2 linked regions of the Drosophila melanogaster genome follow. Changing the gene in region 1 together with any one later gene gives a genetic interaction. Each region holds a gene or a part of one and is shown on either strand. Other genes may lie near its edges. The genes, in order: Mmp1 and Sema1a.

Region 1 (15,960 bases):
TAAAGCAATATCAAGGTTGCATTCTGGGAGGACGGGATGTGCGATGCGATGGGGTCTAGCAGTCTAAAACAGGATGATACTACGTGTGAGCAGGAAGAATCAGCATTGCCGCACTACAACTACACACACAAGATATATGTACGGGAGAAGAGGCGGGAAAGGAGAAGAAAGACAGTAGCAAGCAGCCAGAAGACCGAATGCCATGTGCTATGGCGGCTCATTCGCTTTGTGATTCTTCTGCGCCATGAGTCTTATGTATGTGGATGTGGATGTGGTGGTGGTGTGGGTTGTTATGGAGTCGATGTTCGTTTTGTTCGGCTGTTGTTGTTGCTGTTGTGCTTTCTGGATGTGTGCTGTGGTTAATTGTTCTTGTTTTTGTATCCGCGTCTCTTAAAGCCTGCAAGAAATATACATACGTACATACAGACAGATGACAATGACGAATACGAATACATTTGGATTGTTCGGCTCTTGTTGAATGCAAATTAGACGATTATGGGCCAGGCACGTGCATGCGAGTGTTAAGTGAGATTGGGTCATAACGGGAGTGGATCACATATCACTTAGAGAGCCCATATATCCAGCATTCTTACAATACCCTCCGACTTTCCGTGCCATGCAGGTGGGAATCTTTTGTTTGCTCCATGTTAGTACAATTTCAGTTGTTCATGCAATTACTTGGGTGGGCGTGTGGAGTTCGGATATGTGAGTGTGTGTTGGGTGGTGTGGGTAGAGTGGGTGGTTGGAGAGTGAGTGGGTGGTTTTAGGTGCGGCTCAACCCAGCCGCTAGCCATTTGGAATTTTGTGCCGAGGGTGCCAAAACAAGGAAACGGTTACGCATAAACATGGTTCGAGGTTCTGCGATTTCGACTACAGGGTATAGAGTTTAGTTCGGGGAGTGGAAGATCAAATATTAACAGTACCATATCTAGATATATACTTAGTGCTACGGAACTACGGAGCTTAGACCATAGGGTGGGGTGTTCTTTTTGGGGGTTTCCATTTTCGGAATTTGTGGTGTTTAACAGATAGTGTTGCTTGCTCTTGGGATTAGCCAGTTAGTAACTATTGCAGATGCTATATTGGATTTGGTTAGGCGGTTAGGAACAGCGCATGCAACGATCGTGACTTATAGGCTAGGAACATGGTTTCCGGTGGAGTTGATCTGGGACCTCAGTTAGTGAGACCGACTGACCAGTAGTTTTGGTTGTTGTTGTTGTCGTTGCGGCTGATAATTGCTAATATATTCTTTTGGCTACTAAACTGTAAGCAAGGTATTATATTATTTGTGTTTTTATATTCATTTTTTTCTTTTAAGTATCTTTGTACATGGTATGCTAAATTGAGTTGGTTAGTTTAATAGAATCAAAAAACTAAAAGTACCAAAAGCGTTACCAAGGATGGGTTAGTTAAGTTAATGGAAAGAACACATTGTTAGTTGAAGATGAAATTAGCAAAGTTGGGTTAGTTACAAAGTTTAGTTAGATGATTAGTACAGCTAGTTTAGAAAAGTAATTACAACATTGGTTTCATTAAAATTAAGCTTAGAGGCTTACTCTATAGAAAAGTACTTTCACCAAATAAAACTCAGCATGAAAGCACTGAAACAAAACTAAAATAAAACACCACAAAATCAAGACTAGGAGAAGGTAAAATTTTACAATATTTGTATAAGGCACACGCTATATATGTATATACATATATATATATATATATAGACTGGCAAAAGACATTTGACACACACAGTTTGGTAATTAGTTTTTCAATAGGTATTATAAATGTATTTCTTCCATAGGCAACAAAGACAAACACATTCGACTTGAGTACTAGAATTTCACTACATAGACATTAACTTAATTAAACATACCATAAAGATAGGATTTATTAATATTATCATTTCATTACTTGTAACTGCTTCTCGCTAAGTAACAACTCATACAAGACTTCTTTCTATGAGATCTTTTTGACTTTCAGAGTTCGGGATTCGATATTCGTGGATCCAGTAGATCGATTCGAGCTCAAACAAAACTACCGCTGAGTCGGTCCCACTCACCTGCGTCAAAGTCATCACCGTTGCCATCGTCGGCATGCGGGATCATGGAGTGCTGTTCGAACTCGTTGTCCGAGCCTTCGACGATATTACCTGTGGACGAGGGCGTGTTCTTGCAGCCGAACCACCAGTGGGCGGTGGGTCTGGGGAAGGGGGGCGTGGCCGAGTCAACCTGCGGGAGTCCAAAAGAATAAGGTATTGTTTTAGGTATTGCTGAGATCCCCAGCTAGCAGTACTTACAGCAAATCGGGCGTCATGGAATCTGTAGTACTTGTCGCCCTTGAAGAAGTACGTGTAGCCATTGGTGTACTTCAGCGCTGCGTCCAGGTTGTTGGGAACACCCTCCCAGTTGGAGATGGGCTTGGGATAGCTAGCCTTGACCGGCGGCCTCTTGGCCGGATCGAAGCGCCAGAACTTGCTGCCCTTGAAGAAGTATATCTTGCCATTGCCCCCCCAAACCATTGCGGCGTCCAGATGGTCGGGAATGCCCGTGAAGCCCTCGCTGATTTCCTTAGGGTAGACGCCGTCCATCTGACGGCCCTGGTAGCGCCAGTACTGAGTACCCTTGAAGAAGTACGTCTTGCCGTTCTTGTAGGTGAACGCCGCATCGATGTTGCCCGGCAATCCCGGCCAGCCCTTGGAGATGAGCTGTGGGTAGCCCTCCTCCACGGAGTCCGTGGTCAGCTTGTAGTACTTGTCGCCCTTGAAGGCGTAGGTCTCGCCCTGCGCCGAGTTGAAGAGTGTGTCTACCTTGGAGTCCTTGCAGATGGAGTCGTCTAGTGGCACCTTTGGAGGAGAGTATGGCCGCTGGGTGGTGGCCGGGTACACGTTGGTAGGCCTCAGCTGGTTTGTTTTGCGCCCATACAGTGACTGGATGGCCGCCTTGTCGTCCTCGTCCAACTTGAAGACGGGTTCAAAGCCGCGATAGAAGGGCGCCATCAGAGCGGAGCTCTGATCTGAGTGGGAGAGTCCCAAGGAGTGACCGAACTCGTGAGCGGCCACCTGGAACAGATTGGTGCCTCGAGGAGAGCCAATGGTCCACAGTTCCGCGTCGTCAAAGTGGGCATCTCCGCCAAAGACAGGGAAGAAGGCATGCGCCAGGGTGCCGCCTTGACCGTCAAAGGCATCGCCGTCTCCATGCTCGCTCTCCACGAACCTGGGAGTAAGGGAAAGGAAGGAGAGGAAGATTGGCAATTGTATTTAATAAAGGCTTTTGTGGTACTCACTTGATCTCGATGTGCACGGGGCCGGAGGTCTTCCTGGTGAAGGTCAGGTCGGTGTCCTCGGACCACACGGCAAATGCGCGACCGATCTCCGCGTCGACATCGACTCGCTTCAGCCGCTTGGGGTACTTGGAGATCTTGTAGGTGAGGTTCTTCACACGCCAGCGACTGCCCTGCAGGGCGTACCGCTTGGAGCGGCTGTCACCGGTGCCGACGCGATCCCGAACTCCGCAGCGGGGCAGGGACATCAGCTTCATTGTCTCCGCATCCAGCTCGCCGGTGATGTTCAGTCCCGCGAAGCTTTGGAACTCCTCGATGGCACTCACCCAGGTCCGCTGGTCGTGTAGCCCACTGCTGGCGGGATTGCGGGCAGAGGCGGGTAGATAGCCGAACTGGGACAGGTAGATCTGGAAGGAGGGAGGAAGGAAGGCTTAGGGACAGCTGGCGAAGATCAATGGGCTGCGACCGATGGCCACCCGTCGCGGCCAACTTGATTTATGACAATCAGATTAGTCCTGGCTACTCTGTCGCCTTTCCTTTCCATCTGACTTGCATAATTTACGACCGCCTCACTGGCTTCCACTTTTTATAAATAAACCAGCGGGGAAAGGGGCACCATGTCGTATGCTTCATATGCATGTACCCATATCCATACAGATAACCTGCGAATGCGACGTGACTGGGAAAGGTGTGAAAACGCTTAATCGATCATCAAGCATCGGCAGCTTTAAGGAAGCGATCACTGGCTAATTGTAAATTGTAAATTGTAACATTGAGAAATCGAATGAAAACAGTTTGCGCATCAGGGAAGTGCACTGCGATCGGAGAACAATGCGAGGTTATCTCAACAGTTAAGTGTTCACTAACTATCTAACTATCTAGCTACATGGAATTTGCTTTCTGGCCAATTACAACGGCAAACTGTCTTACAACCGCTTGTTTTATGCGCTTAACGTTTCGGCAATGCGATAATACGATTTTCGACTTGGCATGGGCATCAGGTTCCCCGGCCGTTTATGTGTCGCACATTCTTAATGACTTAATGCCGCCGCTCACATACATATATATATATAGTATATAGTACATGTTGTATAATGATTTGCCGAATCTTGCATAATGCCAGCTGACTGTTAATTTTATTGTGTTCTTTCCGCCTGCGAGGAAGTAAACATTTCGCTGGAATCTTGAGTATTCGAGTCGCGTCTGCTGCCAGTGGCTCTGTGATCTTTTTCTGGGTGGGTTGGCTACCAGTCTTTACTCTTCGCCACCGATCAGCTGGGTCCGGTCCGTTCCTCGAAAGGTAAACGAACTGTAAACAAAGCACGGTTCGAGTGGAGAGTATCTGTCACTCATCTCCGGACAGATGCAGATCCACTCCAAGTCCAGATTCCCATTCAGATTCAGAGCGATTGTAACGACTCATCTGCGATCTTAGCAATGCCTCTTTGTGCAATTAACATAATTACTCCCATTTGGCGGGCACGAACATCTTCGATTACCGAGAAGGTGCTATGCCAGTATGCTTGGGTAACTGTGGGGCTTGTAATGCAGCTTTTGTTATAGAACAAACAGACTGACAGCAATCGAATGCATTGTTCGGCGACGCAAACACGACTCTTTCGGTTATCTTCCATCGATAAGATAACCCCCATTGGCAGCAAACAAAAGAACACTCAACCTGTCCGCAATTGAGTCATTTCTGACGCATTTTTCATTCAGAAGGCAATGCGTCACAAGGCGAACGGAAGTCGGGGCTAGACCGGAAATGCTGGGGCACCCATTTAACACGGCTTACGTTTTTCGGGACTCATCGCTCTAGGCTTTCCATTCAGCTGCTCGGTGGCCAATGGCCATGATTTGAGTGCATCCACGGCGATTTGGATACACATGCATTTGCATGTGATTACCGATTCTCGGCGGGATTGGATCGGACAGATGCAAATCATTGGAAATAATACGCGCTCCAGGGGTGAGGGCCTCTGCAGTCGGGTCACGATTCGGAGGGCGTTGAAATTGCACTTCAATTTATTATTGTACATTGACACACTTTTTTGCGCTCTGCTGTTTGGCGGACAGCCGAACAATAATGTCAACACAGAATGGCTTTTGCCACGACCCAGAACTTTAGGTAGTTCACTGTAAAACTAACTGAAAGTACTCTGTATATGGTTTGATCTGTACATGGGCTAAAACATATTCGCTTTAGCTGAAAGCGAGGTGGAATGGAGTTACCCCAACAATTTGCAACTTACTATACCCAGTAAATATTTATACATTTCTGTATGTGTACTGCCACCCAGAAACTACCAGTTTGTGGGGGGAGGTATCTATTCAGTTGGCTGACCTGCTTGCCTGGTTTACTTAGTCGAAGGAGTTGAACTTGCAGGACGTGGCCCACGGGGTTTTGTGAGCGATTGCGAACTGTAGAGCTCGACTTGGCCAAGAGCTGCAGGGGTGTGTGTGAGCCCAGGAAAGTATGCTACAATCGCAGTGCAACCTTCAAATATTTAACACAATTTGCACAGGTGCAAAGTTGCCAAGTTGATTTGATTTTGCAGGGGAAATGGCATTGCAGGGGCAGCCCCATCGCCGAGTCATTGAACTTTCACCCATTTCAATTGGAGGCGTGCTGCTCCACCTCGTTTATTTCCGGTAGAAACAAGAACAGGACATGCATAAATAAAAACGAGTATCGTTTTGTGTACAATTCTCGTATACATCGGCAACGTGCCCGATGGAAATTGATGGGAAAATTATTGCCAACGGGAAAAGCAGGCGAATGAAAACTCTGGGGCATTCGTTCAACGTTTTTCGGGGGTGCGTGGTTAGTTTACCTGGGAAGGAATGCGGTATGTGGGTCAGCCAGGTCGTTGACTTTCGTCCGTCACACGGGGGTCATAGGTAGAAGGGATTCCATTTCTCCATTTCCCTAGGCAAGCTGCGTGCAAACAAACCTAGACCTAGTTGCACACATATTTGCGTGGCACGTGGCACATAAGCGAAAGTGTCTGCGACAATTAAAGGCAAATGGCGGACCTTTTCCCTGTGTTTCCCTGCGATTTTCCCACCGTAAGCGTGTGCAATTGAGTTGTCCAATCTCGATGCCAACTAGTAAACAGGCTTAACTGGCTTAAATGTTTTAGCGCGGCGATTACATCACCACCCCTCGCACCTCAGTTGCAAATCGAAGCGCAGGCGCCTCATTTGGCGGCATTTCTTTTGGGTTTCCATAACGAGTCGATTGGGGAGATTGTGCAGATTGAAAAGAAAACTCAAAACTATAACGAACGCAAACCAGACCGGGGAAACCAAAACAGAAACTGGGCCAACGGCAGCCTGAAATGCGGCTTAAAGTTGTATAACGATTTCAATTTAATTCAGAGGGAATTAATTGAAAGAACTTCCAGCTGGTTTTGCCATACAAATTGGGCTATGGAGCGAGTAATAGCAAGCAGCTTGTGTGGAAAAATTAAAGTTTAAAACTCGGTTCTTAGTTCAGGCTGCATAGCAGGGAAACTCCCACAAAGTGTTTGACATTTCCAGAAGGTGTCTTCCTTCTTGCAGCCCCGTTTGCCCCAAGTGGCTAATTTCAAACAGCGATAAATAAGCGTCAAGATGCTAAGATAACCGGACAATAAAAAGCGCTATTCATGCAAAGTCAGGCAAAAAAGGATTTTATTGCCGCTGCCATTCCGAAGCCTTTTTAGGCGGTTACCGGGTTGTTTATGGCGAGACGCGTGAAATGCTAAGCTATGAGTGACCTTGGGGAAGTCTGAAAAGGAGAAAGGATGTTGGCTCAAAGCAGCAAAAAGTGTCAGTTGTTTGTCAAGTGCCTCTCTGCAAGGCTGAAGCAGCCTTTTGTTTGCTCGCCTGTGCATTTGGCACCTCGCGAAGGTCGCACGCAACTATTTCATAGGCAAATCAATCAAACTCGGATACGAACGGCAAACAATTCACTCTATCGATTGCTTTTGGCCACGAAAGCGGGGAGCTGGTGGAAAAGTGCAAACTACTTGGCGAATTACCGGACTTGATTAGCTATATTTAGAGCAGGAAAGTTCTACGGGTCTCTCTGTTTTTTCCTTTGTGCGCCCCACCGCGATGACGAATGCGCCCCAGTGAATTTGAGTTTCGCTCATTGGCCGAGTAATTAACCTCTTGACAGCTCCATTATGCTCGCCACTGGCTTCGCAGCGCATGACTCACTGGGAAATAGATAGAGCAGATAGTTTTCCTGCTTCGATCGGATTGAGAAAGTGATATCTGATGGGGGCAGAATCACGATTGCCTCCTTGCTCCGGCGGTGGTCTGCACGATTTGCATTCTCCGGGAGATTTATGGGAAAGCATTTGGCATCGGCATCGGCAGCGGCTTCGGGAGGGATCTGAGAACAAAGAACCTGACATTGGAGAGACAAACACGTAACACCGTCGCCTTAGCTGCTTTTGGGGCGACTGGCCAGCGACAACGAGCCAAGTTATGGCCAACGCGCCCAACATACCAATTAGAAGTCGGGGATTACGTAAAACATAAATAAACCTAGAATCAATGTTAAGCACGCGCTAATGCGTGGCGTGATGGTATATAGTATAGTACCAGCGATTGGAAGCGAATCGACTGGCTGGATACTGTATCCATATCATCACCTGCTGGAGGCGGCGATCGTAAATGGGTAATCAGGAAGTTCTGGGTCCGCTTCTCCGCGTCTTCCCAATTAATTTATGCAAGTCTGTGGCAAGTAAACGTGATTAGCTTCGGGTAGATGGTAGATAGCGCATGGATTGTTGAATGTGTAATTGGAAATTACATTCGGCGAAGCAGCTAAACAGCGATCATGACAAGCAATTAACCGCAGATAAATATTTATAAATTGAAAGCGTGGAAATCAAGTTGCCGCGGGGAGGAATAATTCAATAAATCGAAAGTAATAATTCATGAGGTTTCGTTATCACTTTTTTTGGTGGATGTCTCTTAATGCATTTCAGGTGCGCCATTCGGAATCGAATGACAGGTTAAGAGGGCTTTAACTTGGAATTTCCCTCAAGACGGCACATTTGAATCATTTCTAAAATTAAACGTCATTTGAAACGTCTATAATAACAATTACATTTTTAATAAGAAATAAAAACACCTATTTCGCACACTTTCTATTGTTATCATGGCGTTTGTGTGTTTTGTGGGTTTTTAATATGTTCTTAGAATCTACTGGTGTAATGAGGGAATTTCTAGATCTATTATGCTTATCAGCGCTTTTATGGATATGAGGTGTTTTAAGCCGCTTTACTTTTATTTTTGAGCATTTGAAAATGAATGGCGCAGGGAGTGCATTTAAATCGATTTGCTGGGGAGTGAGTGGCGTGCGAGTTTTCCTAGTGGACAGCCACGTTTTCCGCTGGCCAATGTCACGAGCGATAACGATAGCGATAATCAAACTGCAATTAGCCGGCGGCATGCACTTCCAGCCGTCCAACTAAGGCTAAGGCCAGAACCTCTGAGCCGGGCCAAAACCAAGCCGAGTGTGTGAGCGGAATAAATTCCGTTGACATGCGATTGCGATGCGCGTTAGCCTGTTGCACAGACACACTCGTGAATACGGAACATTTTGTCTGGCGGAAAATTGGGTATAATTCCCAAATGCATCCCAATGCATGCCACTCGGAGCTCTGAGCGCCTGGCACGCCCGTCATGCAAATCGGAAGTGGAGCCTCATGGACTGACTATATAGTATAAATCGACCAGACAGAGCAGACAAAGCGGCTATCTCGTGCATTTGTCGTCACCGCAAGTGCAAAAAACCGATTCGGATTCGGAATCGGTCTCCGAATCTGATTCATTTCCATTCTGAGTTCGTTCCTGTTTAATTTCGTAATAGCAGATGCCATTATCCCCTGTTTTTACCACAGCAGTACAAGCTTTTATATAAATTATAGATGAACGGAAAAGTCAGATTCAATTTAGTCGGAACAATTTACGACGAACGTAGTTTCTGGTAATAACTTAATTATTTGCGCATAAACTTACCTCTGCCTGTGTGGTGGTGGAAACGGGTGCCGATTGAGCCGCTGCCATGATGGAAAACAGGGTGCCTACGACTATGAACACTGAACTTTGGCAGTTTGTCATTTTGTTGCTGTTGTTGCTGTTGTTGCTAATATTGCAGTTGTTGGTGGTTTTGCAGTGGGTTGCTCCCGAGGCTCGTCTATTTGTCATGTGGTTCCACTTGCCGCTGGCACTTTGAACTTTATATCACTGCAAAGGGAAAGGGTGAAGGTGGGGAAAAGGTCAATTAATATTTCATAAAGCCGGCCAAGTAATAAAACAGCAGCAAACAGGAACAGAGCGAATGGAAAGGGAGCAGGCCAAGTACAAGTGCAAAAGGGCGAACGGAAGTCAATCCACTCCACTCCACTCCACCCCAATCCCACTTTCCAACAGGTTGAATGTGGCACACATTCTGTGTGGCAGGTGGAACGGCAATCGGAAGTGGCCGGCGTTGCCGAGAATCGGGCGTTTTCAGTTGAGGCAAACAGTGTCCGTAGTAGTAGTAAGAAATAGCACAACACTTGTGTGGCAAACCCCTTATTATGCACGTAGGGCGAACAAAAAACAATTGCTGTTATGGGACCAAAAAGTGCACTCTCACATCTTGTCAAGCGATTAAGCCATTAAGCCATTAAGCCATCGGGCCAAGAATACCCCTTATCAGAGCCAAATATTTGCCGCCACCATATCTGTGTCTACCTAATCCCCGAGAGCATCTCGCATTCGTTGAGCCCCTCGGAGAACCAGCTGTCCTGTGCGCGATGTTTTGATCGGTCGAGATATATGTACATATGGTAGTGGTAAGTCATGTGGTCTAGTGTCTGGACAGCTCGGACGTCATAAACAGCTCGTGTAAGTTTAGACTCCAATTAGAATTTAATTTTAGACTAGTAAATACCAGGTCGGCCATAACCGTAAAGGACTGTGGGCCTCTTGTTGATATTCTGATATTTGGCTTGCTAAATATAGCGCAGTTTTCCACGGTCGTTCGTATTTCTGCTGATATGGATGGTGTTGACCTAGGGCGCGAGACTCGTATGTCTATGGAGATGTTTACCCCACTATATCTTGCACCTATGCTGATACCGATGCCACTACTGTCCGGCATCCGAGTGACAATAGCAGCAGCAAGTGGCCGAAAGTGACGGCGACATATCAAATACACACCGTGTAGCGCTCGCCGTTGCAAATACATGATATATCGTATGTATGTATATATCTGGAGCGGACACTGAACACTTAAGCCTGTCATTCTTGTTGTTGCTGACTAATCGCTGGGGATTTCGGAGCGGCACAGCTAGCAGTCTGTTTTATGCCAGGCAATTAGCCGCTAGATCCAGCCAAACAGCCAAGCGGCCAAATGAACAGGCGAATTTATTTTGAATGTACGCACACCCCATTGGCCCGCCGGTTTTATCTGATTACAATAATTTCGCTAAGCAAATACCATAAACAATTCCCATTTTCTCTTTGGGCAAATGTTTCGGCCGGGTTGAAGGTCGCCGGGCTGACAGTTTAAGGTTAGCGCCGTGTGGTTAACCCGCCTGATGGGTTGAAGGGGAAAGTGGGGATCCGCTGGGTTGTCATAACGGTGGACGCATTTCCCCGCTGTTAGATCAATAAAGCGAGTGAGTTTTAAGTGCTTTGGCCAGAGCAATCGATGGCGAAACTGCATTCAGAGCGAAAGTTGCCCTGTTTCGTTTATCGTAATGGTTACGTATACGACATGTAGCACACGTCTGGGTGTGTGCTCGATGTTCAGAATTGGGTCATAAGCAGGGCTTCTACTCGCTGACGATAAGGTGGATTTGGCCAGCTGCAAACCGGTTCGCCGGCTCCTTGCCACCTTCTCTGAGTTGAAACTCGAAGTTGGGATTTCTGCGAAGAGGCGTGAGTCAGGCATTGGATGCCAGCGCCCATTTAATCACGAATTAAAATAATAAATAAATTTGGAGTCCAACCAGTTTCGCCAAGATCGGCTCCGCCGTTGACGTGCGTTGAAAAATACCCCCAAGTTGCCCAACGACACCCAATTCCACTTGATATGTCTTTTTGGCATTGTTAGCCTTATCAGCTGTCTATACCCGTTGAGTACGGCCCGAGGGCGATAAGATATGGTGGCGATCGGCGGGAGTTATGTTGGGAGCTACCAAATGCATAGTTCGGGCATGAGTGGCCAAGTGTTACTAGAACTTGACCTTAGTGATAGCCACATATCACACGCCGGGTTGGGCAAGCAGTGTCGAAACAGCCCAATCCGCAGTGCTGTTCAAGTTCACCTCCAAAGCGGAGTGCTCAATGGGTTAGGTCTGATTAATGGGCTCGGACCCGCTTCTGGTTGACCTTTCAATTAGCTGGGCTGCCAGTGGGATGCAATTGCAGATCAATGAACTATCGCTGCTGCCTTTGTTGCTGCATGTCGCTTGCAACACTTACGATTAATTAATTAATTAATTAGCTCTCGGCACATACATTTCTTTCTCTTGTTTGTTGTCGCTGTCGTCGCTGCGTATTCCGCTGTGGATGTGTTGTCGTTGCTTATAATTTATACTTTATAATTCACAGTCGCAATCCTTTTGTTTTGCTGTATTTTCGAGCTGTGAGTGTGTCTTTATGTCTGGCTGCACTAATTGCTCGCTGGCACTTCCATTTTCCCGCTCGTTTCCGCGTTAGAAACCAAAACTCAAAACCAAAAAACCAAAACCCAAAACTGAACTCATTCACTTTTCGAATAACTTTCTTCGCGACTATTTATATAGCACTAGACTCCAACTGCGATTCTTATTCTATCGTGGTGACTTTTTCGGTTTCTCGCCGCTAAACACATCCGCCCTGGGCTGCGCGCAAAATTCAACTGATCTTCAGAGCTCGCTGCCGCACGACGACGACTGGCGATCGTGAGTGGAGCTTTCGAAGAGGGAAGCCGAAAGCTTTTGCGACTAACAGAGGCGCTGGCGATGCTTGCTTGTGGAGATGGAGATGGAGATTTCGTAGCGGGGGACAGCCGAAACCTGTTGCCAATAATCGAAGTTGTTCCTTCCGCGCCCCGCACCCCTTTCCGCTGGAGAGGAGGCGTATGAGTAATGCGCTTCTTGGAATCACCCGCACATGTGTCATACGCCGCTGGTCCAGCAAACAGCAACCGCTGCGGCCACCGAAACACTCGCCCTCGGTGGCACTTTACAGCTTATCCGAAGCTTAGCACATTACTCTCCCCGCTTCCCTTAGGCAAACGCTTACAACTCAGCGGATCTGGTTTCTTGAAATTCACATACGAATTCGAGTGAACTTCCGATCTGCCACACCTCGCCGCTAACCGAAAAGATTTTATGAATGAATCTGCGGTCTGGATTCCCCTGGTCAAACGGTTTCTCAATGGGCGTATGAGTAATGCGTAATTTCATGAGTGATAATCGGAAAGTGTATGTTTCACCGAAAATAAGAATATAGAAGTGTAAAAAGATAGGATAAGTGCCTATTACTAGCTGTGCTTGATAACGGTGCATCTACGCCTATTTGCCTTCATAAATCGTGTAGATTAACACATTCGCCTTTACAGCAGCCTGATTAGCACCTCATCTCTCGCGGACCCGTGCTAATAAGCTATTCATCTGGGTATCTTCTTCTGCGAATCGATAATATATTCGCCCTACGTCGGCACCACCCCATTAATATCAATTGAGTGCAATTTGGGGTGACTCAGCGGCCACGTGAATCAAATTGCCACCTAGCGCAAACAAATCCAGTAATCGGCCTGAGCAATTGGCTAGCAGCCCAAGCCCAAGCCAAAGGTTCAGCTGGGATGTAGCTGGAGAACGAAAAGCGAATCCGACAGCCACATAATGGGCGACATTCTGCTTTCACGACAGTTCCTGATGCGCTTTATGGAGCTGGCACATCCAACGCGACAGAACAGAACTTGGCAGAACAAAGCGGGGGCTGTGAGACAAATCGGATGCTGTTGCTGCCATTTATCCATGGACCAAGTGCATCTGGCTTGCTGTCAGCCCCTCTTTGCTTGCCCATCTGCTCTGGGCTGTGGGCCATGGGCCATGGGCTTGGGATCTGGTCTCTGGGCTCAGGGCTCCGTGGTCTCTTTCCATATATACACGAATGTATTCCTCTGTTATGGCAGTGGACAAGTTGACTTGTCGTCGCCGCCTGCTGTGCGATGCATTTTGCCCTGCTCCTCTGCCATCGGCACAATGAAATATTTATGAGTTTCTACTGCCTTTAAAGACAACTATTTATAGTATTTTTAGTCCATGCCCCATCCCGATGCGATGCAGTGCGCTGGCACTAAGGTTGGTTGCCTGCGCCGGCAGTGAAATTAACTTTTCCACGCCGCTTCGAATCAAGCGATTTCGCATTGACTTTTGCCTTTGAACTGTGCCAACTGGCCGAGCAGAACATATAATTGTCATACAGATGGAGCAGATAATGCTAATTGCATATGAATATAGTATTGTATATTATTTGAATAGAGTGCGCGGCTCTGACTTTGAGTGCGAAAAACTATTTCTAAACTCAATCACGTCACGGTCAGGCATCGATAGTATGTATGAAGTATCTGATGTGCCTATAATTATATGTATTCATGTATCGGAATGTTACAAAGCTCCTATGTGCCGACTGTTTGGGCAGCCTCTGTGATCCGCCCGCAATGTCAAATGCGAAGTCCGAGCAAAGATCGCTCTTGGCCCATTGATGCCCGTCGAGAAAGTGGAATTCCCTGGCGGACATGAGTCATCCTGGTATATCAACTTACCATACGGCAGACAGACGAATTGAGCAAACAGAATTTGCATAAACCAATTTGTGAAATAATCAGCTCGGTGCCCGTGCTCCTTCAGCAAATATTGCACAAAGCGACTTTTGTTTTCTTTAGTTTCTTCACAGGGCTGTTTCGAACTTATCGGGCTTATCTGCGACCGATGGCGATTAGATCTTGGTGGTTAGATAAGGCGGGCAAAGTCACTATATAGTCACTATCACTTGGGCGAATTTGGCTACGGCAGGGCACTATCCACACTCTACACTCATGTCCAGGGGGCTAGCACAGCTCCCAGTTTCCAAGCTAAGACTACTTGTTCCGCGAGAAGCGATAGCGACCGATTCACAGCGGGTTCCGATTGCTACTCGTTTGGCTTTTCTGTTGCTGTTTCAGTTCCAGCTCTCTGCCATTCCGCCTTCAGCAAAATAATGTTCGCGTCGTCGTCTTCGCCACCCCTACTTTTGTATTTCCATGGGGCTTGCGAGTGTGTGCGGGTCTAATGGCTAAGACCTGGGTCTGTCCGTGTTCGCTTCTAGTTTACGAGTCACGCGAATAACCACCGACACACCACCGCTCACACACACAGTCGTCCATAGGTGGAATCCTAGTTCTGGTGGTTGAAAATAGCTGGTCGCCCCCTGTTCCTTCGTCCCTTGCATGTGATTGTGGAGCAACAGGATTAGGAAGGAACTAGCTCTCTGTTGGCTTTAACTAGCCAGACTAGCAGACTGTGTACTACCCATGGCGATCGATTGGATATTATTTAACATAATATAACATTCCCTTAATGAAACCCTATTTGATATTGCGTGCATTTTTAAAAAACCAGCACTTATTTCTGGCGAGCAACATGGGGCTGGGGTAAAGCTCGTTCGGCTAGGACTCACCTTCACTGTTAACGCACTGTAAGCCAGAAGTTAGCAAGCTTTTGGCTAGCTGTTAGATCCACTGATGATTCACCTGAGGGCGCAGCTTTCTCTCGCTCTCAGTCTAAATTGGGTTTTTCACTCTGGGTGGAAAGCTTTTCACGCAGCGGAAGCACAAACTAATTTGTTTAACACTCGCTAATTTGCTTAGCTATACTATATCTTATGGAGATTTGCCTTCCGCAGCAAGCTGCCGTAACTGCAAGTTCGAGTGCGTTTTTGAGGCTCGCTAGTGCGCTAGACTGAGACTCGGGACGCTCCGCTTAGATTCTTTTATATGGCCGGGAGCAAGGCGATCCGATAGCGTTCCGTTCCGAGATCCGAAACGCCAGTCATTCAGCTCGGCTTGATGCCCGCGTCCTTCCCTGTCAGCACCCCTTTCGCAGTGCTAGGGGAGCTTCCTCGTTTCGTTTCGATAACGGGATAGTTACGCATCAATCCCGGCTTCTTGAGCGGATGAGTCATGTCAGACCGATCCTGAGAGTTCCGAGCATTGGTGCACGTGGCACCAATGTGGCATAGGTTATTGAGTCGCCTTCCACCGATTTTTCGGCTGCAGAACAGGCTGATTCATTTCGATTCACTCTGCTTCGACTTCGGTCGCTGTGATGCTAAATTTCGCTTTATATTGTTCTTATATTTTGATTTATACGCAATCAAACGTGCTGGAATGCCGTCCTCTTGGCTTCTTCCTCAAACGGCCACCTCCTCACCGACTCCCCACCAGGAGATTCGCGGGGAGAAGTGAGGGTGATGTCTTCTTTTGTATTGCAATTAAATATTTTGATATGGCTGTCGCACAGGCGAATAAACTAAGGATTTTAGATACAAAAGAGCAATTCAAATCGAGCAGGAAGTCTGAGTGATTGTTTGATTAACCGCACTGATTGATGGGGCCACTCCTTTTGGGTATCTCAAAAGAAATCCTTCTACTGGTGTCTTTGT
Region 2 (16,289 bases), on another chromosome or scaffold:
GATTTCTACTGGAATTGCTTCGAGGAGCGTTTCTGCTACGACGAATCCATCGGTAAGTTTTTGAGCTTTTTTGATTTGGGCAGTTGACGGATACGGATACTCTGGTTACGGTTACCTGAAAATGAGTACGAGTACGAGTACTTCGGCTACTGCCACTCAAATACTCACTCTCTTCGCACGCCTCACACACACACACATACAAGAAACTAATAAGATCTTGAAACGCACAATGCTACGGCGATTTTTGCGCGATTTAACGTGTTTGGCATTTGAAATCGAGTACGAGTCGTAAAAGGAAAAAATAAAACACAAGCTGATAAATCAGTTTTATGGCACTTTTGCCAAACTTGCATATAGAGTATCTTAAAAAGTTGCGCTTAAGTAAGCTGCGACAAGTTTTGTTTACATAAATGCTTGCATGTATAGAAAGGCAAAATAGTTTTATTATTTTATATAAAAAAATGAATAATAATAAGTACTTAAAAGAATTTAACGATAGAATATTCCAGAGGTAGAGTTGGGCTTATAGCTTAGATCAAATTCGTTTCTGTAGAAGACTCACATTTTGTTTGAAAATGAAATTCAAGGAGAGAAGACTCGGAAGTTTCTGGAATAAATTTGTTTATAAGATTACGGTTTTTTCATTTACTAATTTCTGCTCTTTCTTTGCCTCTCAGCCAACTACAATCCCGAGGAGGACGAGGACTACTTGGCGTCCAGGAAAAATGGCCAGATCATTGGACGCATACAACCGACATCGGTGGATAATAATAATTCGCTGACGGTGCCCCAACCGATTTGCGATCAGCCGCAAATGAGGCAGGGCAACTCGAGCTTGGGCCTGAGCCTAATGAGGTACTAATAGATAGATCAAATCCCAATCCAGAGATCGCATTTCGCACTTTGTTTGGTTGGCTGGCGATTAGCGATTAATTGGCATGCTCGTGTTGGCTTACTGTTGGCCATATCAATTGACATTATAACCAATATCTGTTTTCTTTGTGGCCCTTTTAGCGCCAAGATCCACGAGGAGGACTATCGTCGGGAGACACAGATCAATGTGCCCAACCTGGGACCGGAGATACTGGCGGTTTTTGCCAATTCGCAAATCTTCCAGGACCATCAGCCCACCAAGCTGAACCGGATCAGCACCAAGACCTATCTGGCCGGAATCCATTCGCCGAATCGCGAAATGCCGACAACTCCGCGGCTCAGCGATCAGGATCGATTGCTGCGACGTCTGGAAGGTAATGATGGCCCCAGTGGTGCACACACCCCACTTTTGGGTGGTGCTGCTAATGGTAAAAGCAGCGGCAAGAGCACCCGCAGCAGCAGCATCGTATCCAGCGGTGTGCCCAAGGTCAAGTTCTATCTGAACTGAACATCGATGGGTTTTGGGGTTCAATGGGTACTAGCAGTATTTGTGCCAAAGATTGAGGAACTCTCGCAATGCGGATATAATCAATTGGAGAGTGACCAATATCGCCAAAATGTGACTTAATATTATTAACTAATTAGCTGTAAGTGTTGCTACACAATATTCGATAGAGACAGCAATGCCAGTGCGACTGGCATTTAGTATTATCTATACTCCTAAGTAGCCTAATTTAAGTTAGCTTAAACGTTTACCATTTAAGTCTTAATTGTTGGACCTTGTAATTGTTTAGTCCTAAGCGACAAAGAGCAAACAGTATGATTTTCATAAAGTTTTTAAACAAAATTTTCGCTTGGTTTTCACTTTTACGCTCCACATATTTTATATATATTTAGGTGCTATTTAAATTGACTGACTACTGACTTCATCTTTACGTAAAAGTTCTGATTAATACAACATCGTCGTGCCTTTAAATCGCGCCTACCATCATTTTAGCAAATTGTTTTGTGCACTTTGAACAATTGCTTTGTTTGTCAAGTTGGCATTACTCAACAGCTTTTACTAATTGCATGGGACTGGGATCGCTTAGTCAAACATATTCACATTCTAAGCGTTCAGTTTTTCGATAGATTTCTCAGAAGTGGTTGAAATGATTTCACTGAGAATCTACGAAAATCAAATAAAGTCTTGGCTTATTAAAAAGGGAATCTAAAAAATGCATAAGCAATATATGAACAAATTTCGAAGACGATATGAAAAGCAAATTTCACATTTGCTCAAACAATTATTACAAATTTTTGCAATCCAAATTTTTCCGCAGGCTTGACTCACAATCCATTAACCCCATTTGGCTTAAAAAAAAAAGAAATTCATTCATTCGAAGTTCGAACCTCCAAACGAGGAAGAGCGGAAAAGAACAAATCTGGATCCGAGTCCAAATTTAATTAACAATTTTATTTCTCAATGACGCAGACAGCACCTTAAGGTACTGGTTTCATCTGGAGTTATATATAAAAAAAAGAAACATATTTTGCGGCACGTCACACATTTGTTATCACAATTGGAAGCAGAGATAAAACCATTGGCAATTGGAGATGATTTAATGGGCTATTAGGCCTGCGCCACTGATTTATCGCAATATTCGCAAATGGTTAATCACAGCGACCGACTTATGCCACCAAGCCCATTCCATCAGCAAAACGAACCAAACGTAATTAGTCAAATATTCGATTTTCTTATCGAGACCATATAAAAGAGTGTTAACAGCAAATAAACACCCATGCAATATGAATATTTCTGCCCATTTATGTATTTTGTCAAAAATACACGTATAGGTAATTTTTTTTATAGATAAGAAACTCGAGCTGGTAATCAGTTTTTGCATGCTAACAATCGATTCCTCCTTAGCTGATAAAAATAAAGAAATCGTCAAATTTGTAGAACTTTAGAGCTGTCATTTCATTCTATAGAACACATTTAAAAACTCCAAGCAAAAATGATAACATATAGATATCATCTTCACTTGTTTTAGGTTAATTGAAAAATAATCAATACATCAGTATATCTATAGAAAATAAATTCCGTCTTCATATTATGCATGTTAAATATACAATTATATATTGATCTTTTCAATTAAAAATATTTAAACAGCAGGTGTTGTATGTATCGATATTTAACAAATCGCGTTTAATTGATTGTATGTTCGAATAATCTCAGGTTTCATTTCGAAATAAAACGAAACAATAACAGCGATCAGTAAACAATAAATAGCCCAGTTTCAGTTGTCAATTAAGTTTTATGCACGGTACTATTTTCATTTTTATTTATACTTGTAAATTATATTGTTATACATACGTGTGTATGAGATATCTTAATTACATTCACGTAGTCATCACGTTCTCTTGCTAATGTCGGATGACTTTTCCGATTCGCCAGTCAATGGCTCCTATACAGTTTATAGCTGTTTTGTTTTAAGTATTTCCACATCTACATCATATTATTTCGTCAGAACCCTATACCTTATACCTTATAAAGCTGACGTTTATTGTCGGGGGTCTTGACGATACTTAAATCATACGTCATATTGTATTGTTTAACACATTTTGCTTTCTCAAAACAAAATCTAAGTAGTTACCGATTAAGAATTATTAGGCAGTAAATTAAATGATTTCATAAGTATCTATACATATTTTTACATAACAGAATTAGTATAATCTTTAACTGCAGCTAAATTTTATCCTACTTTTAAGTTTCATTTCACAAATAAACTATCAAAGCGACTTTACTAAGTATGTACATATTTGAAAATGACTTGCCTTGAAAGCGCAATGTTGTTATCCAAATAAAGAAACAAAATTTTATTGCAATTATATACTAAAATATTGACTGAATCAGAATGAATACTATAAAAAATAATACTGATAAGGTACGACTCATTTGATGCTTAAATGCATCTTACCCAATTGCTTGGGTATTTGTTGTCAAATGAAATTAAATTTATAAATCTTAAGAGTACAGAAATATTAAGTCAAAAGAAGGCAAGACTAATAATCTATTAAATTTACTATAAAACTTAACTAGTAAGTTCCGCCTCTAAAATTTCCATTTTAGCCAAAGTCGAGGGCTAGTTATTATCTGCACATATCTTTCCTATCTGCCATGAACTCAACCGTTATCTTGTTTGCCAACCTTTTATGCGTCTTACAATGGCATCTACTTTTCCAACTCTTCCAAAGATAATATTGTCCTCTCTGGCAGCTGGCTAATTAGGGTACAATGAAATCAGGACAATATCTCTAAATAATATGGGTTTAGTTACTTGCAAATGCAGAACACTTTTTAAACGGAGTATATCTTCTTTTTGCAGGAGATGCCACTGATGCGAGAACAGGATCGACCGAGAAGCGAATCACCTTCACCCTGGCTCCCAGTTCGGCCGAATGCTCGCCGTCGGGTAGCCAAACGACACTTACTCCCAAAAAGTTCGAGGCCATTGCCGAGGAGGAGAAGGAGGACGACAAGGCCGATGAGGAGGAGGAGATCATGGAGGAGGTGGTGCTGCGACCTCGCCTCATCGACCGGCATCCTCATCTGCTGGCCAACCCCAGTGGACTGACGACCACGCCCAAACGGATCCTGCGATCCGCCAAGAGCGTTCCGCACATGAATGTCCGTTCGTCGGCCAGTGAGACGGATATATTCTCCATTAGCGGTACGATGACCGGAAGCAGTCAGATCAGCATGACGCCGGAGGTGCCATCGATATCGTTCAGTAATCTGCCTAAGAACTACGAGGACACGCCCACTATTGAGAAGTACCGGGTATCGCAGAGTCTCTATTCCATTCAAACGGCGAATGCTGCTCGGGCCACACAGGATGATTACTCCATGCCGCGCTACTTCCGTCGATCTGCCATGCTATTGACCCAGAGCTCTGAGGTGCTGCCCGGCGCCAGTTCACTGGCCTCCATGTCGCCATCGATGGCCTCGTCCTCTGCCTCGCCCGGGTCCTCCAAGGACGAACTGCGACGGCCAGAGAAGGAGAAGAGCAAACGACTCCAGATGCTGCGTGGCAATCTACCGCCCTTACTTATTCATTCCGTGTCCTTCAAACGAAATCGCGACGAGGGCAAGCAGGTTGACTAGTCGCACTGCAGATATACATATTTATTTGTTAATCACTTTGTCCATGTTTTTAATGTTTTAAATTTATTAGCCTTTAGTACCTGCTTATGCGTTTTCTGTATTATCTTCTAAGCAATGACCTTGTCCAAACAATTCCTCAGTATTCAGATGTACTTCATTTTGAATTAATGATTGATATTACAAAATAAATTGTATTTTACCACAAAAAACAGCGATTAAAGATCCTACTTAATAAATCTTTATAAAAATCTAAACGATATCTATTTGTACCATTTTAAAAGAAATAAATGCGAGCTTGAAAAAAAATGCACTTATCTCCCCGACGGGGAATTGAACCCCGGTCTCCCGCGTGACAGGCGGGGATACTAACCACTATACTATCGAGGATGTTATACAAAGTGAGTCAAACTCGGGTTTTCCGTTTGCGGAGTGTGAATGCTTGTTTCAATTTCATCTGTTCCCCATTTGTACTCTGAAGACAGTGTGCAAGCTCGAGACGGTTGTTTGACAGTGGGTAGACAACATCCTCGATAGTATAGTGGTTAGTATCCCCGCCTGTCACGCGGGAGACCGGGGTTCAATTCCCCGTCGGGGAGAGATGTAAAAATTACTTTTTGTTGATTGTTTTAATTTATTAATTTAATTTTTTAATTTTTTAATTTCAAAATTTAAGTAATGCAATACATGTTTCAGACCAACAAATTAAAATAAAAAATTGCACCATATAGCTTAAAAAAACGTCAAACATGTATATTTAATTAGGTCATCCTGGAAGTGATATATAATGAAACACATTTCAACGGGTATATAAGTTTTGTTAAGGGGTAACTGTAAGCCGGACCCATTTAGCTTACCACCCAATATGGTAGCACTGGCTGTAGAAATTCCCAATGGCAACGCTAGTCGACCAGTTTTCATTCGTATTGGCGTGTGTGTTGTTTGTACAACAAAACATTCTAGTTGTTTTATTTGCAAGGTGCTCATATAAAAACATAAACAATATATTTCGTAGAGTGCCCTAATAATTTATTAAGTTGTGAATTAAACAAATATGAATAAGAAGCGTGTCCAAGTGAATTGGTTAAATTGTAAATTATAAATAAAGCAATACATATAAACGGCCGGCAAAACAGAGAGCGCGTTTTAAGAGAGAACCTAATAGGAAAAGAGTGTAGAGCTGCCAGGTTTCAATTAGGTACCAGGTACCAAACGTATTTATTATTCGAGAAGAACTATTTTTGGTGACTAAATATGGTTTCTGATTATAGAAGTGTTCTCCTAATATATAATTTTTAAAAATTTTTTTCTACACGTGCCCTCAGATTGTTGATATTCAAAATTCGTACACAAACGCCCTTGACAGGCGCAGTCTCACCCGCGCCCACTGAGAGCGGAACGACGGAAATTTCAAACATTATTTCTATTTTCTATTTGAATTGAAACTATGTATTTTCCATAATTTTCAAAATATTCTTGATTTTTTTTGAATAACTAAATTAATTATTTTAAGTATCGCGAGGGAGAATAAGAGTTTAAAGCGGCCGATTATATTGAGGGGGAGTTTCAGTCAACGAAAAGGAAATAGTGAGAGGAGAGGGCTTATTGAAGAGAGCCTCTCATTTTAAAATTTCTCTTTAAGCGTGTTCCTTCTAAAGGACACAAGAAACTAATATGTTTATGAAATAAGAAACTTAACCGTGTATGTGTTTTCCAATTTTGCGTGAACAAATAAAAGAGCTCAAGCATTTTATCGTTTGAGTAATTTTAGATAAAAATTTATTAATATTTTTTAATGTTTTCAATTTGCCATAGACAACATTTTTTCCAATAAAATTCGGTAATATAAATAACATGGTGTTATGGCCTGCAATTTTTATATAAATTTTTAGTAGCACGCTCTTAGTTTAATATTTAGGTCAATAAAATAATTATCCTTATTGTTTTTTTTTTTAATTTGCATATTGTTTGTTGACCAGCTGTTAAGAGAAGAGAGGAGAGAGAAAAAGAGAACCGAAAAAGTGACCGTTCGCGACTTCGCAGTCAGCGCTGGAAAACGCACTAACGCGCGGAAAATGCCCTAGCGCCAGAGAAAGTGCCATTTGAGACTGAACTCTCTTTCGTGCGAGTTCCCTTTTCATTCGAAAATTTAACGCCCGCGCTGCTGCAGCGCGTTGTTGCTCCGGTTGGAAAATATCTGAAAACAGCATTAATAAATAAACAAAAATATTGGATAAATCGCCGGTAGAAACGCTGCATAAAACGAAATTTGGTTTCTTGTAAAATATTATTTTTCAAGATATTTTCTTGTTAATTTCCGGATATTCGACAAGGATATAAATGTTTCTTTCGCGTTGATAAACAAATTCCAGCACCGCTACCTTTGTGTCGCGCAATTGTGAAAAGTGATTTGTCCATTGTGTACATTAATTAATAAATTGGTAATTGCTCAATTTAGAAACATGTGCAATCGAGAGCTAGTGTGAGTGTTTGTGTGCAACAATAATAAAGCCGAAAATTGCCCAATTGCAATTGGCAATCACAACAAAATTGGAATATTATGGCACATTAGAAAAAGAAAATAACGAAAACTGTGTTTCCACCCAAAGTTTAGGCCGCAGCAGAGCGAATCCACAAAAATATACAATTTCGGCAATTTTTCCACATATTTTTCATTGATTTTTCGCCATCCTGCGGGTGTGAGCAAGAGGGCGAGAGAGTTGAAAGGAGAGCCAGGCTTTTGTATTCTGTTTTGGGTACGTTTTGGGAATGAAACGGTCCTGGCTCTCGCTAACCCACCCTCCCTCTCTCTTTGGGATTATCCTTTTTATATTTTGTTTATTTCTCTATTTTCCTGGCCACGTTTTGTGCACCATTCGTTTCGCTGCATTTCATTCTCGCGGCGTTTCAAATTGACTCAGAGAGAGTGAGAGTAAGAGTGGGAGAGAGCAGCACTCTCTTATTCTTCTTCCTCAAACTCACGCACCCCCCGCATAATGTTTTTCGACTCTGCCTTGTGCCCCCCATTCGCATCTCTCCGCAGCGCGTTGCCAACCAAAAAAAGAAAACTAAAGTACTGTTGTCATAATAAGAAATTTATCAGGAAAAAAGTTGAATTACAAAGTGTTTCAATTGATATTTCTTGATCATTTCTTCATCAAATCGTGTTTCATATCGTAGCAAATATTAATTTTAATTCAAAAAGCCCTACATGCCAGATATTTGTGTTCAAGATAAGCTCTTCCTGCGGCCATAACTTTTGATTGGGAAACTGAAATCTAATCCAGTTTTCCTTCTCCCATTTCCACAGTATTTAAGCCAGAAACAAAGTGAATAAGGCAAATTTGAATAAAGAAAAAGAATAAACCAAGAAAATATGCTCAGAAATCGCATCCGTAGCCTACTTATCGCATGAAGAACCGGTACCGTTAAGGGATAATCGCCGTCGCGTTAATTCGACTCCTGCACCGCACCGCCCCGCCCCCCCGTTCGTCGTTTCGTCTATTCATATATCCGATATAACCGTTATCGCGCCCGTGCATCTGCGTCTGCATCTGTGTGCGTGAGTCCTTGTATCCTCTGTACATATGTACAATATTTGTCGTCGTCGTCGTCGTGCATCGTTGTTGTTGTTCTTGCTGTTATCCTATTATTCATCGTCGTCCGCTGGCATTAATCTGCGTATAAAGTAAATATAACAAATTTGTGTTCTTCGGTGTTGTCTCGTGTAAGTGTCTATAATTTGTTTAAGTACGACAAGCGATCGGTGCGAATCAAAAAATTCCAATTCACCAGTCTGTGTGTGCGAATCGATAATCGAGCTATCAGAACAACCACAACAACAACAACAGCCCAATCAATCGATCAATGTCAGCAAACAAACGATAAACAGGACTCGCTGGGACTAATCAATTGCGTAATCTTCAGAATATTTTGGATTCCAACGTCTACGGAGTTTCAACTTTTGAACAATTCATTTTGCTGGACAGTTTTTGGAAAGGTACGTTTAGAAATAAATATCTTATTAAATATAGTAAGAGCAATCCAAGTGTCGCATTTTTATAAACATAGTCATTTGGATTAAGATTAATCGCAGGAAATGGTGGAGTTAATTTTCTGGAAAATCAGAACGTATTTTATGCCAGATACATTGGGATGTTCGAAAATGCATTAACACTGGGTCTTGTTGCCTTCAGCTCCCAAAATTGTTGTTTTTTTTCAAGGGTTAAGTGGATGCACATCGGTCGTGCCGGGAAATATCTATATTTAGCGCACGTATTGTCCTTTGGCCACGTTCTAGGATAAGGAAGGACATACCTTGGTAGGGTCAGCAAAAGTCGTTCTCGATATTTGCGTACGCCACACACACGACTGCTTGAGTGCGAAGGGTGTGGGCATTGGACGAGACTCATTAGGACAAACCGAAAATGGTTGAAATGCACTTTTGCAGACAGATACGGAATATACCCTCGGACACACAGCAGGAGATATCGGAGCTCAGACAGAGATACAAAACGGAGCGATTTCCATTTGAAATGTAAACAAAGCACGCTGATACCCCGGCACAGTGGAGCAGATGATTGGACGGTCGGGAAAACAAAGGCGAACCAAACACTTAAGATACGGCTACAGTGGGAACCACAGAAAAGGGACACCGACAACAAGTGATTTGGAAATGTTGATAAAAATGTGGTAGCTATTAAGTAAAAACATAAAGATGCCAGTTTGAACAATTTCTTTGCCAAGTTCTTAGGTTGCATTTGAATAACTAAAACTTTATTTATTTTAATACCCAAAAGAGGGGTTTTTAAATTGGTTATCAGATCTTTTTATTTGTTTTGATAAATTTAAACTGGTACACTTCATATGAAGTATTTTTTATGTGCTCAATCCCTTAAGCGCCTACTCATTGACACGCAAGCTGAAAAAATTGAATATTCCACTCGGGAATCTGATTTAGTTCTGCTTCACCCGCATTTATGTCTGCATTACTTAACCGATTTCACAGCTGTAATCTGTTTCTTTTCCTATCTGTGATTGCCTCTTTTTTACTCTCGTTTTGTGATACATTTTCGATTCGAGAAATGGTCTTCGTCATCGCTTTTGATAGCTTTAATCTTTTAATCGCTTGCATATTTAGGAATTTAACAGAGAGCCATCTACGTTAATCCGCTGAGATTAGCCTAATGGGATGTTGTATTTCCCCTGAATCTTTCATTTTTGTAAATGGTCATTTCTTGAAATGTTATTCCAAGTTCTTATGGTAATTTGATTCCCCCTCTCATGGTAAACGACATAAATGTATCTGATAAGAATTGAAATACAATTGATGATCTTCTTCAAATTCTCTGAATTTCTCTTATTAAATTTTAATCAATTATCTTTTTTATTAATAAACTATATTTGCTTCCCATTGTGCAAAGACGGGTGAGCTTAGACTGTGGTTTAGATGACTGTGGACTTCTGGCTTTCAACCTCCTTTGCCACTCTGCGGCCCATTTCACATTCTCCTAGCCAAGTATCTAATCTATGTATCTAAGTATAACCAAAGAAGCCCGTATGTTTTGTATTATGTTACACAAATATTTAAGCTGCCTTAAGTAGATACAACGAAACGCGTTCAAGATACACATATGTGTAGAAAGAAAGAGCCAAGGAAAAGCGCAACAACAACAGTGCCGCGGATAGAAAAGTTACATTTCAGTTAAATGTGCGGGTGCTGAGCGCAGTGGGTGGTGGAAATCCTCCATCTACCCACCAAACAAGACTAGAAAAGCCAAAGTCGTGCAGTAAGTTATCACATCCGAAGAAATTGAATGAGCAGACTAGCATATAGATGGATTAACAGGCAAATTCAAACGGAGTTGGCCAGCAAAAGTGCTGGGAAAATAGCCAGAATATCGAGATACTTATTAATTTTGCTGGCGGAGATGAAAATAAATAAATTTATAAAAATTAAATACTCTAGTTTTGCAAACTGTAACATTACTATATGATTATCACAAATTAAGCTTTATATGTTTCTTATTAAAGTACTAGTGATTTTATTTTATAAAAATTAACATCACTGACTGAACTCGGTTTCTTTCCGACTGGCTAACTGGTTCGCATTTGTGTGTTTTGGTAGCACTTGGACTGTTTTTCTTCTTTTGCAATGTTTGCTATTTGTAGTTGTCTACCGATACAATTTTTCCTCGTTTTGTTATCCATTGATACGCATATCGTTTGCCATTTGCTATTTGCCATTCGCCATTTGGCCCCCAACTCCAAAGCGATTCAATTCAATTTCTACGATTTCATCTCGACCAGACTGCAAGTTGGCAATAGGAGCAAAAAGTGTAGCGTCGCAACCATGAGATGCTTTTTCTAGACATTCCAAAACAACAATGGTGCCCATGCTTATGCTAATAAATTTCAATAAAATCATGAATTATTTTACGGCCTAAATCTTGTTGGTACCCCAATGCATTTGTATCTGTACCTAGTGGTGTTTTTCCCATTTTGTTGCCACTGTAATCTGACTAATACGCAGTGCAGCTAGAGCTGCTTTTACCAGAAATTATAGCCAACAACACAGAGAGGAATAAATAAGGAAAAAAAAAAAAAACTGAATTCGTTTCGTTTTTCCAGATCCGCGCTGTGGGCGTTTTGTACTAATCAAGATACACGAGTCTAAAATGTTATTTTAACTCTTTTTCTCCCCCCCCCATGCCCTATTTTCCACTCGTATCTTCTATTTTTTCCAATTTGGCTAGAATCATGATTTACCTTCTATTGGCAAGGAAAAAGCTTAAAGTTTTTATTTAACTCTGCCATTGGATTGCTGTCATTATTTATCGACATGATTTAATTATGAAAAAACAAGAATGTTAGATTACATTACAAAGAAAATAATTTACTCACATTAATTACAAAACCAATCAATATCGGGACAATATCAATGCTTGTTATTTACCAAACGAAGGAAAATCGGTAAAGAATTTCGTCGTTTATTTGATTATAATCATTTTTCTTTGTCAGGCCTGCAAAAATGAAATGTGAGTAACAAAATAGTCGAAGAATTTTTGGGCAAATAAGAAAGCAAAGTAAACACTTCTAAATAAAGGACAGAGAAAAACAAATAACGCAGCCAAGGTAGGAAAATATTCCTTGGCGTGTTGACCAAATTAAGACCGCAAGTGGCTGGCTGGCTGACTGGCCAAAATGATTGATTTAATGACGGTATCATTGACACTCAATTCGAGCTCTGCTATCTCGGCCACACCTACCATGGATTTGGGAAAAATCGGCAGATGGCAGGGACAAATGGATTTCGCTTAATTAAATCGAAAAAAAAAGAAAACAAAAAATTTGATCTATTGATTTTTGCCGCAAAAAAAAAAAAAATCAACATAAAAGTCATGTTTATTGATAACAAATTGTATAATTTTTGTAAGTTTCACTTGATATAAATGTTATCTAAACGAACATGAATGGCAACTTATGTGTTCTTAAATTACAAACCACTTTTAATACTGTGCCCGCATACAAAATCGTTGGGCGCACAAATTGGATTTTGTTAAGGAGTACAATAAAATCGCAATTAAAATGACCACTTAATCTAAAATCACTTGCACAATAAAAACCATGAATATATAATTAATTTATTAATTAAAATATTATTAAAGCTTTTGCTTTAAAGAGCTTCTCCCTTGGCCCTAATCCCGCCCTTCTCCCCTTTCCTTTAAAACTTTTCAATGGCCATTCGCGTGTGTAAAGTTATTTGCAAAAAAAAAGTAAACAACAAAAGCGGCTATAGTTCTTTTTATGGCACACTTTTTAATGAACCTATTGAATTATATCAGTGCGCTACCGTTCAAAAATTGTTTAATAGCATTCTTTGTTTATGACTTTATGGCAAACATTTTTGCTGTTGAATATTACAAGAAAAAAAAGGGCCCAGTTTGATAGCAACTAATTTCATAATTGCTGCTTGCACCAAACACTATCTACTCTATTTTATTTTTAATAAAAAGCATTAGATATATGCACTTGTTTTCTAGTAAATCAGAAACAAATGGTGAAATTGCTGGTACAAAATTCTATCAAATATTTATGTCCATTGAATTGCTAATTAAGCTGAATAACTCTCACAATACTAAATTAAATTGACAAATTACCTCGGTGTGCAAAAAAAAGTTGAAAATTCACACTGAAAACCACATCAAGTCGAAAATTTGTTTACGGGCTTGGTTAATTTTATTTTCCTTAATTTTCCTGATGTGATTAAATATTTATTTACTTTTTACAAAGATTGCACGATAAACGGAAAATTCTGTGCTGTTATATTATTGTATCAATTGTTAACAAATTAATATTTATATTATTTTTATTTGCTTGAATCATGCTTTTTAACATGTCTAACAATTTTGATTAAGGTGCAAAAAGTGTTATTACTCTGATTACTATTTACTTTTGATTTCACAAACTACAGGCAGATATAAAAAAATATATATGCCAGAGTTTTTTTTTATTTTTATTTGAACGTTCATGGAATGTTTAACGTGAACAATTTAGTTATTATCATGAAAATAACAAACACGTATAAATTTTGCATGGGCAGAAAAACGGTAATGGTTAAAAAAAAAAAAATAGTTTCGAGTGAAAAGCAGTTAATAATTTGAATGGCTGATGTGGGTGGCGTTGGGTGAACCTGGGAAAACTTCGATAAAAAGGCTCAAAATAAATAAACGCAAGTGCACAAACACCAGCAGACATACAGAAATTCGCGATAAAACCATAAAAACCAGAGAACACAAATTTCCAGCAATTAAAAATTCAATGTTTGCCATTTTTTCCTGTACATACAACATGCATAGAGATACATGTATATATAGGTATAAATATATATGCCTATTTTTTGGGATTTCTTCTACATTTGCATACAATTTTCATGGCATTTGTTTTATATTCGGTTATTATTTTTAGTCCGCGATTTTCCCTCCGCTTTATTGATATTATAAATTATGGTTAGCGCGAATTATGAAAAATCCTTATACCCATTTTTGAAACATTTTTCGCTCGGTTTATGCGCAGTTGAATTTTATTTTTACGATGATACTAGCGGACATCCTGCAGTTTATGCTGTTTTTAATCTCAGCTCAAAACTCAAATATGAAAGTATTAATTTTGTTGTTAGGCGGTTGCATTTGACTGGAAGGGAATGCATTTTATAAGCATAGCCTTATTTAAACGTAAACCTTCTTTAACTATATATAACTATAAATGTATACAAGTTTTATAACCTAAACCGCAAAAAATAAATATGAAACCAGAATGTGGTACGTGAAATTAAAAATGTCTTTCAAGTCGAAAATAATGAAATGTTCAAATGAGCAGTACAAATATGATGTAGAGCTCTTAACGAACGGAAAACGAGAGGACGAAGGACTCATTCGCCATTTGGCACAAGCATCATTAACAACAAACCTTTTACCAAAAAAAAAAAAAGGGGTCTAACCCTCTAAAATAATATATTTTGGTAATGCATACGCGCATTTGCATTCGAAATGGAGAATCAACCCCCGAAAAAAGGAAAGTCTGGTTTTGGGTTCACTCCGGTTAAAGTGCACTCAACGCCGAAAGTTGCGACAGCTGCAAATTGAACTTTTTGCCATCGTTGCATGGAATTCTTATTCAACAAATTTGTTTTTTCTGTTTAGCCCGAGGCAACGCCACCGCATTTAACCCATGAGCGTCCGTGGCGCTTAGTAATTTGAGCGTAATTGGGTTAAGGCTGAAGAGAAAAGCGCCAAGATGGAAAATTGTGTGCATAATAGAATGTGGAGAAGGGGTGGCAAGGAAGTTCGGCTTCATTTGGTCTATTTCATCTCAATTAAAATTGAAATTCAAATTTAAATTGAAAATGTAAATTCCAGTCTCTGTGCCGAGCGGCTAGCTAGCTATCCTTTTGGCCATCTAGCTGGTCCAAGGCAAGGACCTGTGGTAGTTTTCGTCCTTCGCTCATCCAAAGGGAAGCGCAATTTGTTGAGCAAAAGTTATAAAATTAACACTTAAATGCTTCCAGATGTTGGTGCTTACACTCTCCTGGCTGAGTGTGTGTGGCCTGAATGGGCTGATGGATCTGGTTGTGACACATGTTGTGCCAATGTACGAACCATTAGGGTTACCAAATGTTGCCTAGGCGAAATCTAATAACAATAAATTGAGCTCGGCCAATTTGGCAGGCGAGCCAACACGTGTGTTAAGTTCTTAACAGTTTCCTTCTATTTAATCGAAGATTTGTAATTTGATATGCCAATCAAAGTTGTGTCCAATGTGTAGATATCACAACTGTATTTGATTGATTTAATAATTAACAGACTTGTTGAACTGTCGAAACCATAATAAATGTATTATAAATTTTAAAATATTTGTTTCTTATCAAGGCTAAAACTCAATTTGCAAAGAGGGATGAAAAGAAAAATAAAACCGCTTAGCTTAAAAACTTTTCGCTAGCTTCGTTAAAAATATCGATAACCCACGTAGTTCTTTATCGCTCGATATTGAAATGTCATAAAAGTCCTTTCTTCTCTTGTCGGAAAAAAGTATTAAATAACTTAACAAATTGTACACAAAGTCCCACAGCATTTTTTGGGCTAGCTACTTAAGGAAGAAAAAAAAAAGTATAAAACTGAAAGGTAGGGGTGGAAAATCAGAAAAGCAGAGAGAAGCCAAAGGAAAAGACGACAAGTCTCGGCGAATGGGAAACTTTTCTTTTAAAAAGTTACGTACACTGGATGACACTTCTGCTAAGGGGGAAATGCGGGGGCGGGAGCGGTGGGCAGTGGAAGTCTTGGCCAGATGTTGCCAGGAAAACATTAAAAGTGCAACGCCGGCGAAAACTTATTTACTTTTTCACATTTCGCAGCACTTGACTGCCCCGCCTGCTAGAAGTGGGGATGCGGCTTTTCAAGTTGGAGTCCAAAAAAACCCCCTTCCTGCCAATGCGTTTTCCGTTGTCTCATTTCGAAAGAACGCTACACCGAAAGAAATATGGCTAACTTTCAATAGTTTCAAATCGAAGTCGTGCACTATCAAATATTCTTTATTTCTCCCAGTGCAGCCTGGAAATGATTCTGATAGCGGGCGGTAGCGCTGCTTGACAAGTTTGAAATTTCAATTAAATTCATTTGAACTGCGGCCGGACTTCTTGGGGTCGGTCTCTGGTAATGAGCAGGCCAGACCAGCGTAATGGCATCTTAGTTGATGGAGCCAACTGATTGCAATGCGT

The links.
Region 2: of Mmp1 (region 1) and Sema1a, changing one suppresses a phenotype caused by changing the other (phenotypic suppression), as found in Drosophila melanogaster (one study listed by BioGRID).

Annotation. Positions count from the first base shown.
Region 1 is NT_033778.4:24,672,920-24,688,879, forward strand, and holds the start of Mmp1 (matrix metalloproteinase 1), read right to left. Parts: upstream 14,459-15,960; 5' UTR 14,084-14,458; intron 12,172-14,083; exon of another isoform or gene 11,788-12,171; intron 9,523-11,787; 5' UTR 9,397-9,522; coding exon 9,295-9,396; intron 3,681-9,294; coding exon 3,277-3,680; intron 3,207-3,276; coding exon 2,291-3,206; intron 2,223-2,290; coding exon 2,054-2,222; coding exon of another isoform or gene 2,019-2,053; exon of another isoform or gene 1,757-2,018; intron 398-1,756; coding exon of another isoform or gene 360-397; exon of another isoform or gene 1-359.
Region 2 is NT_033779.5:8,536,217-8,552,505, forward strand, and holds the start of Sema1a (semaphorin 1a), read left to right. Parts: upstream 1-5,930; 5' UTR 5,931-5,996; intron 5,997-6,996; exon of another isoform or gene 6,997-7,499; intron 7,500-8,327; 5' UTR 8,328-9,017; intron 9,018-16,289. Other genes in the region: CG17834 (uncharacterized protein), read left to right, coding at 1-52, 678-855, 1,015-1,247, 4,242-5,020. UniProt on the Drosophila melanogaster protein: Involved in growth cone guidance through its role in axonal repulsion. Function in neurons is essential for adult survival, motor neuron survival, and is important for climbing behavior and activity.